2 linked regions of the Saccharomyces cerevisiae S288C genome follow. The protein of the gene in region 1 purifies or fractionates together with the protein of each later gene. This does not show direct contact. Each region holds a gene or a part of one and is shown in the gene's direction. Other genes may lie near its edges.

Region 1 (6,123 bases):
TTGAATATCACCATTAAGGAGGACGAATCGCTACCAGCTGCCATTAAGACTAGAATTTATGACTCTTATTCCAAGGTCGGACAAAGAGTTAAGGTTTCCGGTTGGATCCATAGATTACGTTCTAACAAGAAGGTTATTTTCGTCGTCCTCAGAGACGGATCTGGTTTCATTCAATGTGTCTTGTCCGGTGATTTGGCATTGGCTCAACAAACTTTGGACCTGACTTTGGAATCCACCGTTACTCTGTACGGTACCATAGTCAAATTGCCTGAGGGTAAAACCGCTCCAGGTGGTGTTGAATTGAATGTCGACTATTACGAAGTTGTAGGTTTGGCCCCCGGTGGTGAAGACTCCTTTACAAACAAAATCGCAGAGGGCTCAGACCCTTCTTTACTGTTGGACCAACGTCATTTGGCCTTGAGAGGAGATGCCTTGTCTGCAGTCATGAAAGTCCGTGCTGCTCTACTGAAAAGCGTTAGACGTGTTTATGATGAAGAACATTTGACAGAAGTTACCCCACCATGTATGGTGCAAACTCAAGTCGAAGGTGGTTCCACTTTGTTCAAGATGAACTATTACGGCGAGGAAGCTTACTTGACCCAAAGTTCCCAATTATATTTAGAAACCTGTTTGGCCTCCCTAGGTGATGTTTATACCATCCAAGAATCTTTCAGAGCTGAAAAGTCCCACACAAGAAGACATTTGTCCGAATATACCCATATCGAAGCTGAATTGGCCTTCTTGACTTTCGACGATCTATTACAACATATTGAAACTTTGATCGTCAAATCCGTGCAATACGTTTTGGAAGACCCAATTGCTGGCCCACTCGTAAAACAATTGAATCCAAACTTTAAGGCTCCAAAGGCTCCATTCATGAGATTACAGTACAAGGATGCCATTACCTGGTTGAACGAACACGACATCAAGAACGAAGAGGGCGAAGACTTTAAATTTGGTGACGATATTGCAGAAGCTGCTGAAAGAAAGATGACCGATACCATCGGCGTCCCAATCTTTTTGACGAGATTCCCAGTAGAAATCAAGTCTTTCTACATGAAGCGTTGTTCTGACGACCCCCGCGTCACTGAATCCGTCGACGTTTTGATGCCAAACGTTGGTGAAATCACTGGTGGTTCTATGAGAATCGACGACATGGACGAACTAATGGCAGGGTTTAAGCGTGAGGGTATTGATACCGACGCCTACTACTGGTTCATTGACCAAAGAAAATACGGTACTTGCCCACATGGTGGTTACGGTATCGGTACCGAACGTATTTTAGCCTGGTTGTGTGACAGATTCACTGTCAGAGACTGTTCCTTGTATCCACGTTTCAGCGGTAGATGTAAGCCATGATCTTTAGTTACTGAAGAGTACGTGAGCGCTCACATATATACAAATATTTATACCGATTAATATTTACGTTCCTCCCTCTCTCTAATTATTCATTGATTTATTCAAGAATTAGCGTTATAACAATAAATGGTTGGCGCAGGCAATTAATTTTTCTTTACTCTTCCAAACCCTCTGTTAACGACAATCAAATAACCTGATCTGCCAAGGCTCCATCATATCTGGCCTAGAACAGTTTTTTTTTTTCGATTATTTGTTCGTTCTTGTGGTGGTTACTCATTGGCAGAATCCCGAAAATCATGATTAGTAGATGAATGACTCACTTTTTGGATAAGCTGGCGCAAATTGAAACATGTGAAAAAAAAAAAAAAGGATTATAAAAGGTCAGCGAAGCACAGAACTCTGAGATAAGACTACCTTTCTTTAGCTAGGGGAGAATATTCGCAATTGAAGAGCTCAAAAGCAGGTAACTATATAACAAGACTAAGGCAAACATGTCAGACGGCACTCAAAAACTATGGGGTGGGAGATTCACTGGTGAAACCGATCCTTTGATGCACCTTTACAATGCGTCTCTTCCGTATGATTATAAGATGTATAAGGCAGATTTAGAAGGAACTAAAGTATACACAGCGGGCTTGCAGAAGTTGGGTCTTCTAACGGAGACAGAATTGGCAAAGATCCATGAAGGTTTGGCTGAAATCAAAAAAGAATGGGACGCTGACAAATTTGTCCGTCATCCAAACGACGAGGATATCCATACTGCGAATGAAAGACGTCTTGGTGAACTAATTGGCCGCGATATTGCTGGTAAAGTCCACACCGGTAGATCCCGTAATGATCAAGTTGTTACCGATTTGAGAATATACTGTCGTGACATTGTCAATGACACCCTCTTTCCAGCTTTAAAGGGCTTGGTTGAAGTTCTAATTAAGAGGGCCGAAGGTGAGATAGATGTCTTAATGCCAGGCTACACACATTTACAAAGGGCACAACCTATTAGATGGTCTCATTGGTTGAGCTCTTATGCAACATACTTCACCGAAGATTACAAGAGACTGGGTCAAATACTACACAGATTGAATCAATCACCACTGGGTGCAGGCGCTCTTGCTGGTCATCCTTACGGCATTGATAGAGAATTTTTGGCTGAAGGTTTGGGTTTCAATAGTGTAATTGGTAACTCCTTGGTTGCTGTTTCTGATAGAGATTTCATCGTGGAGTTGATGTTTTGGGGAACTTTGTTCATGAACCATATTTCTCGTTTTGCTGAAGATTTGATTATATATTGTACAGCAGAATTTGGTTTCATACAGTTGAGCGACGCCTATTCAACAGGTTCTTCTTTAATGCCTCAGAAGAAGAATGCAGACTCGTTAGAGTTGTTAAGAGGTAAATCCGGTAGAGTATTTGGTGATCTGACAGGATTCTTGATGAGTTTGAAGGGTATCCCATCTACTTATGATAAAGACATGCAAGAAGACAAAGAGCCACTATTCGATTGCTTAACAACTGTAGAGCACTCCATGCTGATTGCCACAGGTGTTATTTCTACCTTAACTGTAAATAAGGAAAAGATGGAAGCTGCTCTCACGATGGATATGCTAGCTACCGACTTGGCAGATTACTTGGTCAGAAAGGGTGTTCCATTCAGAGAGACTCATCACATATCTGGTGAGTGTGTCGCTACTGCTGAAAGACTTGGTCTAAGCGGTATTGATAAATTAACCTTGGAGCAGTATCAAAAGATCGATTCGAGATTCGGACAAGATCTTTTTGAAACTTTTAACTTTGAACAAAGCGTTGAAAGACGAGATGCTACTGGTGGAACCGCTAAATCTGCTGTATTGAAGCAATTGGATAATTTGAAATCCCAATTAAATTAGCAGATGGCGACGTTATGCGCAAGAATTTCATCAGGTCTGGTACTTCTAGGACTTCATCAACCCTTCTTTAAATACTTATTTTGTTATTAGTATTATATTTTCGAGATTGTGCTATGTATATATATACGTAGATAAGCAATTGTTATCTAATCAAGGATATTATTTGGATGATTTAGAAGATGACCGGCAAAAAAACGAAATAATGCTGCTATATACCTTGGCTAATCTTCCTCTCAAGCGTTTCAGGGAAAGACGTGTGTGATGGTTGAATATAAGTGAAGCAAATGGCCATGAGACTAAATAACTAAAACGGCCGCAATAATACACACTATTGTAACCTCCCAAAGTCGTTAACCAACTTAGCAGTTGTCTTAGTTTATACCCATTCGCACTCATTATCATTTTGTAAACTGGATAATGTAGGGCCTCGTGAATGTCTGAACCGGCCATTCTCAAAAATTTATAGTTCGATGGTTGTGACCCAATCTGCAGGATTCCAAGCTTGATTGTGGAAACATTTAACCTTTGATATTCCTTGAAAATTTTAAATAGTGAGTCGATTATTCCAGACGTTATAATTTCTGTACTATGATGGACTAAGTTCAGGTCCGCAGTCAAAGATGGATTGAACATAATTAGTTGGGTTTTTCTCTTCAAATGGGGTATAATGCTTAATAATGCTTGATAATACACAAATATACTTGAATGAATTTCAGATTCCAATGAGTCACATGAAATTACTCCGGATGGATGATATGATAACCTTGGCATAAACAATATGGATGCTAGCCTTGGTACATCAACAAAAAAACCCTCGAAGTCTTTTTCGCAGGTGGGATCAATGTAATATATGAAATCCTGATCTTCTTCGTGCTTCTTATAGACGTCTGCATTTTCAGTACAAATATATACTGTAAACCGTCTGCGATATAAATCCATCACTTGATTCCTTATGATAGGATCATTCATATCGCCCAGTATTAATACCACTTGAGATTCTGCTTCAGGTAAATTAGGTGGCAGTTTAAAAAAGGTCCTATACCCAAGGTATAAGCACAGGGAGGTGGCAGAAATTCCCAAGCCTAGCTTCCAATGATCCTGGAGCCCGATCCTCAAAGTTTTATATACTTTAGATCTGTTACTGTCGTTTTCCTGTAGTCGAGGAGTCTCCTTGTTGGATATCTTTCCAGATATGGATTCAATTGATTTTTCGACGTGGTTCTTGATCTCATCGCTCAAGACAGCGCTTTTCGAGACGAGCCAATACCCAGCATCAAATATCTGATCCACTATATCCTTACCACCAGACCAAGCCATTTTTATTTGTTTTTTTGAGAGCAAATATCTTCTGTTGTCTGTTTTATATTTCCTGTTTGTATGCCACCTACAACATTTTTACATGTTCCGACGCTGACCGAAAACGACCTGAAGGGAATTAAAGTTGACTACCCCCTAACTAGACCCTGTTCTTAACATTATCTATAACATGAAACTATCTTACACTTCACAGTAAAATTTTCAAGAGTAGTGGTAATATCAAATCCAAAATCCAAAAATGGGTATCAATAATCCAATTCCTCGAAGCTTGAAAAGCGAGACCAAGTATGTTCATATATATGCTTCCTGCTGCCCCTCCTCTAAACTTATGGATGCAGCTAAAATGTTCAAGATAGCTCTCTAGTCTGTGTCCATTGCTTATGGGGCATGAGTTTTCAAAAGTAATGTACTAACAACTTTATGATTGATTTATTTCGAATGTTTTAACTACAGGAAGGCCGCGAAAGTTCTAAGGAGTTTTGTTAAACCAAATCAAGTATTTGGAGCAGACCAAGTTATTCCACCATATGTGCTAAAAAGAGCTAAAGGTCTAGCAATTATCACGGTTTTAAAGGCTGGCTTCTTGTTTTCAGGGAGAGCAGGTTCTGGGGTGATTGTGGCCAGGTTAAAAGACGGTACATGGTCGGCTCCCTCTGCTATCGCTATGGCAGGTGCTGGTGCAGGTGGTATGGTCGGCGTTGAATTGACAGATTTTGTTTTTATTTTAAATTCGGAAGAGGCAGTGAGGTCCTTTTCTGAATTTGGTACAATTACTTTAGGTGGTAATGTGTCAGTTTCCGCAGGTCCTCTTGGAAGAAGTGCAGAAGCTGCAGCTTCTGCATCCACAGGTGGTGTCTCGGCAGTTTTTGCCTATTCCAAAAGCAAAGGTTTATTTGCCGGTGTGTCTGTGGAAGGTTCAGCCATCTTGGAGAGAAGGGAAGCTAATCGAAAGTTTTACGGCGATAACTGTACATCAAAGATGATTTTGTCAGGTAGAGTAAAAGTTCCACCAGCAGCAGACCCCCTACTCCGTATCTTGGAATCAAGAGCGTTCAACTTTACACGCCACGACCATGATGACAACGCTAGCGGTGATGATTTTTATGATGACGGTCAATACAGCGACAACACAAGCCATTATTACGACGATATTCCAGATTCCTTTGATTCTACTGATGAATCCTCAACACGTCCAAACACAAGATCATCAAGAAGAAGAGGAATGTCGCTGGGGTCACGCAGTCGTTATGATGATGATTATGATGATGATGGTTACGGACGTGGTCGCGGGTATGGAGATTTTGATAGCGAAGATGAAGATTATGATTACGGAAGATCTCCAAATAGAAACAGCAGCCGCAATAGAGGCCCACAGATAGATAGGGGTACTAAGCCGCGTGCGAATACCCGATGGGAAGATGATTTGTATGATAGAGATACTGAATACTCCCGTCCCAACCATTCCGGTAGGGATTATGATAATACCCGAGGAAATAGGCGTGGTTATGGTAGAGAAAGGGGTTATAGCCTTGGTCATGGCCCAACTCACCCCAGCAATATGAGC
Region 2 (4,116 bases), on another chromosome or scaffold:
TTTAGAAAAAGTGTGCTACGAGCGGGAATCACTACGAGAGGCCACAGAGTACGCTGTATCCGTTATCACTTTCTGGATTGATACTGTCTCTGTAATGAAGGGTAAATCGACACAGACTCCAATCTTCACCATTACTTGTATTTTTGTTTCGATATTGGTCATAGCGGGGTACATGAGGAGATTGGAAGACTTTGCTCAAAACAAAAACAGTGATTGTATGATTGGTAGTTTAAAAAGCACTGACAGGATCTTGTGGTTAAAAGCATTCAAAACTTTGAAGAGGATCGAATCACATTTATCTGAAAGAGAGTATAAATTACAAACATTTGCTGAGTTTTTAAGGGTTCCAGATAATGGCAGTCTTGATATTGAGAGTTTGGACTCATCCTTAATAGAGAATACTTTGAATTCACATGATGTTACCAATCAAGCGCTGGACATAATCACGAGAACAAGATTGTCATCAAGAACATTGTATTGCGGTGCTAGAATTCTTGGCGATACACCAGTCTGGCCCGTATCTCTGTTGTTTGCTCATGCCTTACAATCTAGGGCTATTTACAATATCAACCACAGGAAATCTGTAAACAGTGTATAGACTTTAGATAGATATTTAGCATATCCGTATGTAACATTATATTAGTTCTTTAGGGCAAATTGAAAAATTTAATCATCTTTTCTTATTCTTAAAAGCGTGAAAATCAAAAAAAAAAATCGATGAGTTGAGAACATATGATAAATAAAAACAAGCAAGGTGATCGTCAAACTGCACTCACGCACACATAGATTTTTAGCTCCCAAAGTGCTATCGTCTATACTATCCAAGTTTTTACAGGCTCGCAATAAGCTCAATAAACAATATCAACTGCATATGACTGAACCTGCCCTGAGTAGCGCTAATAACGCTCTGATGCAAAAACTAACAGGTCGACAACTTTTTGACAAGATCGGCCGTCCTACTAGGATCGTTGCACCAATGGTAGACCAATCCGAATTAGCATGGCGTATTCTATCGAGAAGATACGGTGCAACCTTGGCGTACACTCCCATGTTACATGCAAAATTATTTGCTACCTCGAAGAAATATAGAGAAGATAATTGGTCTTCCTTAGACGGCTCTAGCGTAGATAGGCCGTTGGTTGTACAGTTCTGCGCTAATGACCCAGAGTATCTATTGGCGGCAGCTAAACTGGTGGAAGATAAATGCGATGCGGTAGATTTGAATTTGGGCTGTCCTCAAGGCATAGCTAAGAAAGGTCACTATGGGTCATTTTTGATGGAAGAATGGGACCTTATACACAATTTAATCAACACCTTGCACAAAAATTTGAAAGTTCCAGTTACAGCAAAAATACGTATATTTGACGACTGTGAAAAGAGTTTGAATTACGCCAAGATGGTGCTGGATGCTGGAGCTCAATTTTTAACCGTCCATGGGAGAGTAAGAGAGCAAAAAGGACAAAAAACTGGTTTAGCTAACTGGGAAACAATCAAATACCTAAGAGATAATTTACCTAAAGAAACCGTGTTTTTTGCTAACGGGAATATCTTATATCCTGAAGATATTTCACGTTGTATGGAACATATCGGTGCTGACGCAGTGATGAGTGCTGAGGGGAACTTATACAATCCTGGTGTTTTCAATGTAGGCCAAACTAAGAACAAGGAGAAGATATTTCCACGCGTAGATAAGATTATCAGAGAGTATTTCCAGATTGTCAAAGAATGCCAGGAATCTAAAGCCTCCAAGACAGCAATGAAATCACATTTTTTTAAGATTTTAAGGCCTTTCTTGCCGCATCATACTGATATTAGGTCAACACTTGCTACTATGAATGCAAAAGCCACGTGGGAAGAATGGGAGGAACAAGTAGTGAAGCCTGTCGAAAAAGTAGTGCAAGAAATATTTGAACAGCCAGATATCGCTATTAAGGATGAAATTACTATCGGCGAAAAGCAATCATGGGGTGGTTCATATAGAACTGTTCCATACTGGAGATGTCAACCATATTTTAGGCCTGTTAACGGTATCACAGGTGATAAAAGAGTTATGCAAGGCCTCATAGATGAAAGCGTGAACAAGAAACGTAAAGCTGACGTGCCATTAGAATCTGCTGATAAAAAGAAGGACGTGAAAGCTTAAAACCTGATAAAATCCATGTATATTTCTTTGCCTTTTCTATTCTTTTCTCTAAGTATAGTTTTTATGTATGTATATTAATTCAAACAGAAAATGTTCAACTCCGTCTCCATAAGAAAACTTCTTTCAATTTGAACACTTGTATATTCAATCAGAATTCGCCATAGAGAGCATGTCAGCCAATGTACAAGAAGCTGCAAATGCAGCTATAGAGCCGGCCAGTTTCGTTAAAGTCCCAATGCCTGAGCCACCAAGTAGTTTGCAACAATTGATCAATGATTGGCAATTAATCAAGCATAGAGAAGGTGGGTATTTTAAGGAAACAGATAGGTCTCCCTACACCATGGAAGTAGAAAAACCAGTAAATGGAGGCTCAGGTAATACTGAAATGGTAACAAGAAATCAATCTACGTTGATCTATTATCTACTAACCCCCGACAGCCCAATTGGGAAATTTCATAAGAATATTAACAGGATCATACATATCTTACAAAGAGGCAAGGGTCAATACGTTCTAGTATATCCTGATGGTCAAGTGAAGTCATTTAAAGTTGGTTTTGACTATAAGAATGGAGAAGTCTCGCAATGGGTTGTCCCCGGAGGTGTGTTTAAGGCAAGTTTCCTTCTGCCAAACGAAGAATTTGACAACGGTTTCTTGATTAGTGAAGTAGTGGTACCAGGTTTTGACTTTGAGGACCATACCTTCTTGAAGGGTGAAGATGAACTGAAACATCTTGTGGGACCTGAAAAGGCAGCTGAGTTAGCTTTTTTAGCTTGAACTTTTGTACTTAGTTATTATCAAAATAACCAATAAGAATTATTTTAGTCCTTTCGCACCGCGATTATTAATAAACTCAATATTTTTTTCCTATTTAATTCCATAAAGAAACAAAAAAAAAAGCAAGCAACTACAAAGGTCTACTTACCATGTTTAAACGTTCCATCATTCAACAGTCCCGCTTATTCTCCAATTCTGCTTCTAGACTAGGTAAAAAAGTGTTCTTTGATCCTGCGGTCAATGGAACCAAAATCGGCAGAATAGAATTTGAATTATATGATAATGTGGTTCCTAAAACTGCTGAAAATTTCAGAGCCTTATGTACCGGCGAAAAGGGCTGGGGCTATAAAGGTGTCCCTTTCCACAGAATCATCCCAGACTTCATGATCCAAGGTGGTGACACTGATTTGACTAACGGTTTTGGGGGCAAATCCATTTACGGTTCCAAGTTCGCTGACGAAAATTTTGTCAAAAAGCATGACAAGGCAGGTTTGTTATCTATGGCAAATGCTGGACCAAACACTAACGGTTCTCAATTCTTCATTACCACTGTGCCTTGTCCATGGTTGGATGGAAAACACGTTGTCTTTGGTGAGGTAACCAAAGGTATGGACATTGTCAAAGCAATCGAATCATACGGTACTGCTTCTGGTAAACCAAGAGCTGAAATCGTTATCGAAGAAGCTGGTGAGTTATGAAGGCTTATATGAAGCTAAGGTCTCTCATATTTCTAGCATATAAGGTATGCGTTATCTCTATGTCTACGAATTATATCTGTTTATAGTGTTTTATTTTATATAGACTCGCTGGCTCATAAAAAATCAACCAACTTTTATTCTGGTTTGCCTCAGTCGAAATGTTGTCCTTTACTATTGACTAGTGTTGAAGAATTTCCGGATCTTATATTTTCGACAATTGAGTTCCAACATACATTACAGAAAAAATACAAAAAAAAAATACAGAACTATCGTAAGATAATCTGCTTTTGATATAAATCATAAATCAGTGGAGCATGGGGATATATTCATTTTGGATCTTTGATAGGCATTGTAACTGTATATTTGATAGAGAATGGACATTGGCGTCCAATAGCGCAAGTGGTACAATAAACTCCAAACAGAATGAAGAAGATGCAAAACTTCTGTATGGTATGATATTTTCGTTACGCTCCATTACACAAAAGCTCTCCAAAGGGTCT

What was found.
Region 2: the proteins of ARG4 (region 1) and CPR3 purify together in Saccharomyces cerevisiae (affinity purification with mass spectrometry, with the first as the bait; one large-scale study listed by BioGRID). This does not show direct contact.

Annotation. Positions count from the first base shown.
Region 1 is NC_001140.6:137,130-143,252, reverse strand, and holds ARG4 (argininosuccinate lyase ARG4), read left to right. Parts: upstream 1-1,850; coding exon 1,851-3,242; downstream 3,243-6,123. Other genes in the region: asparagine--tRNA ligase DED81, read left to right, coding at 1-1,359; YSC83 (Ysc83p), read right to left, coding at 3,402-4,559; YSC84 (Ysc84p), read left to right, coding at 4,798-4,844, 5,013-6,123.
Region 2 is NC_001145.3:107,935-112,050, forward strand, and holds CPR3 (peptidylprolyl isomerase CPR3), read left to right. Parts: upstream 1-3,067; coding exon 3,068-3,616; downstream 3,617-4,116. Other genes in the region: TDA9 (Tda9p), read left to right, coding at 1-598; DUS1 (tRNA dihydrouridine synthase), read left to right, coding at 872-2,143; CFF1 (Cff1p), read left to right, coding at 2,313-2,918; TRAPP subunit BET5, read left to right, coding at 3,931-4,116. UniProt on the Saccharomyces cerevisiae protein: PPIases accelerate the folding of proteins. It catalyzes the cis-trans isomerization of proline imidic peptide bonds in oligopeptides. This isozyme is required for growth on lactate at high temperature.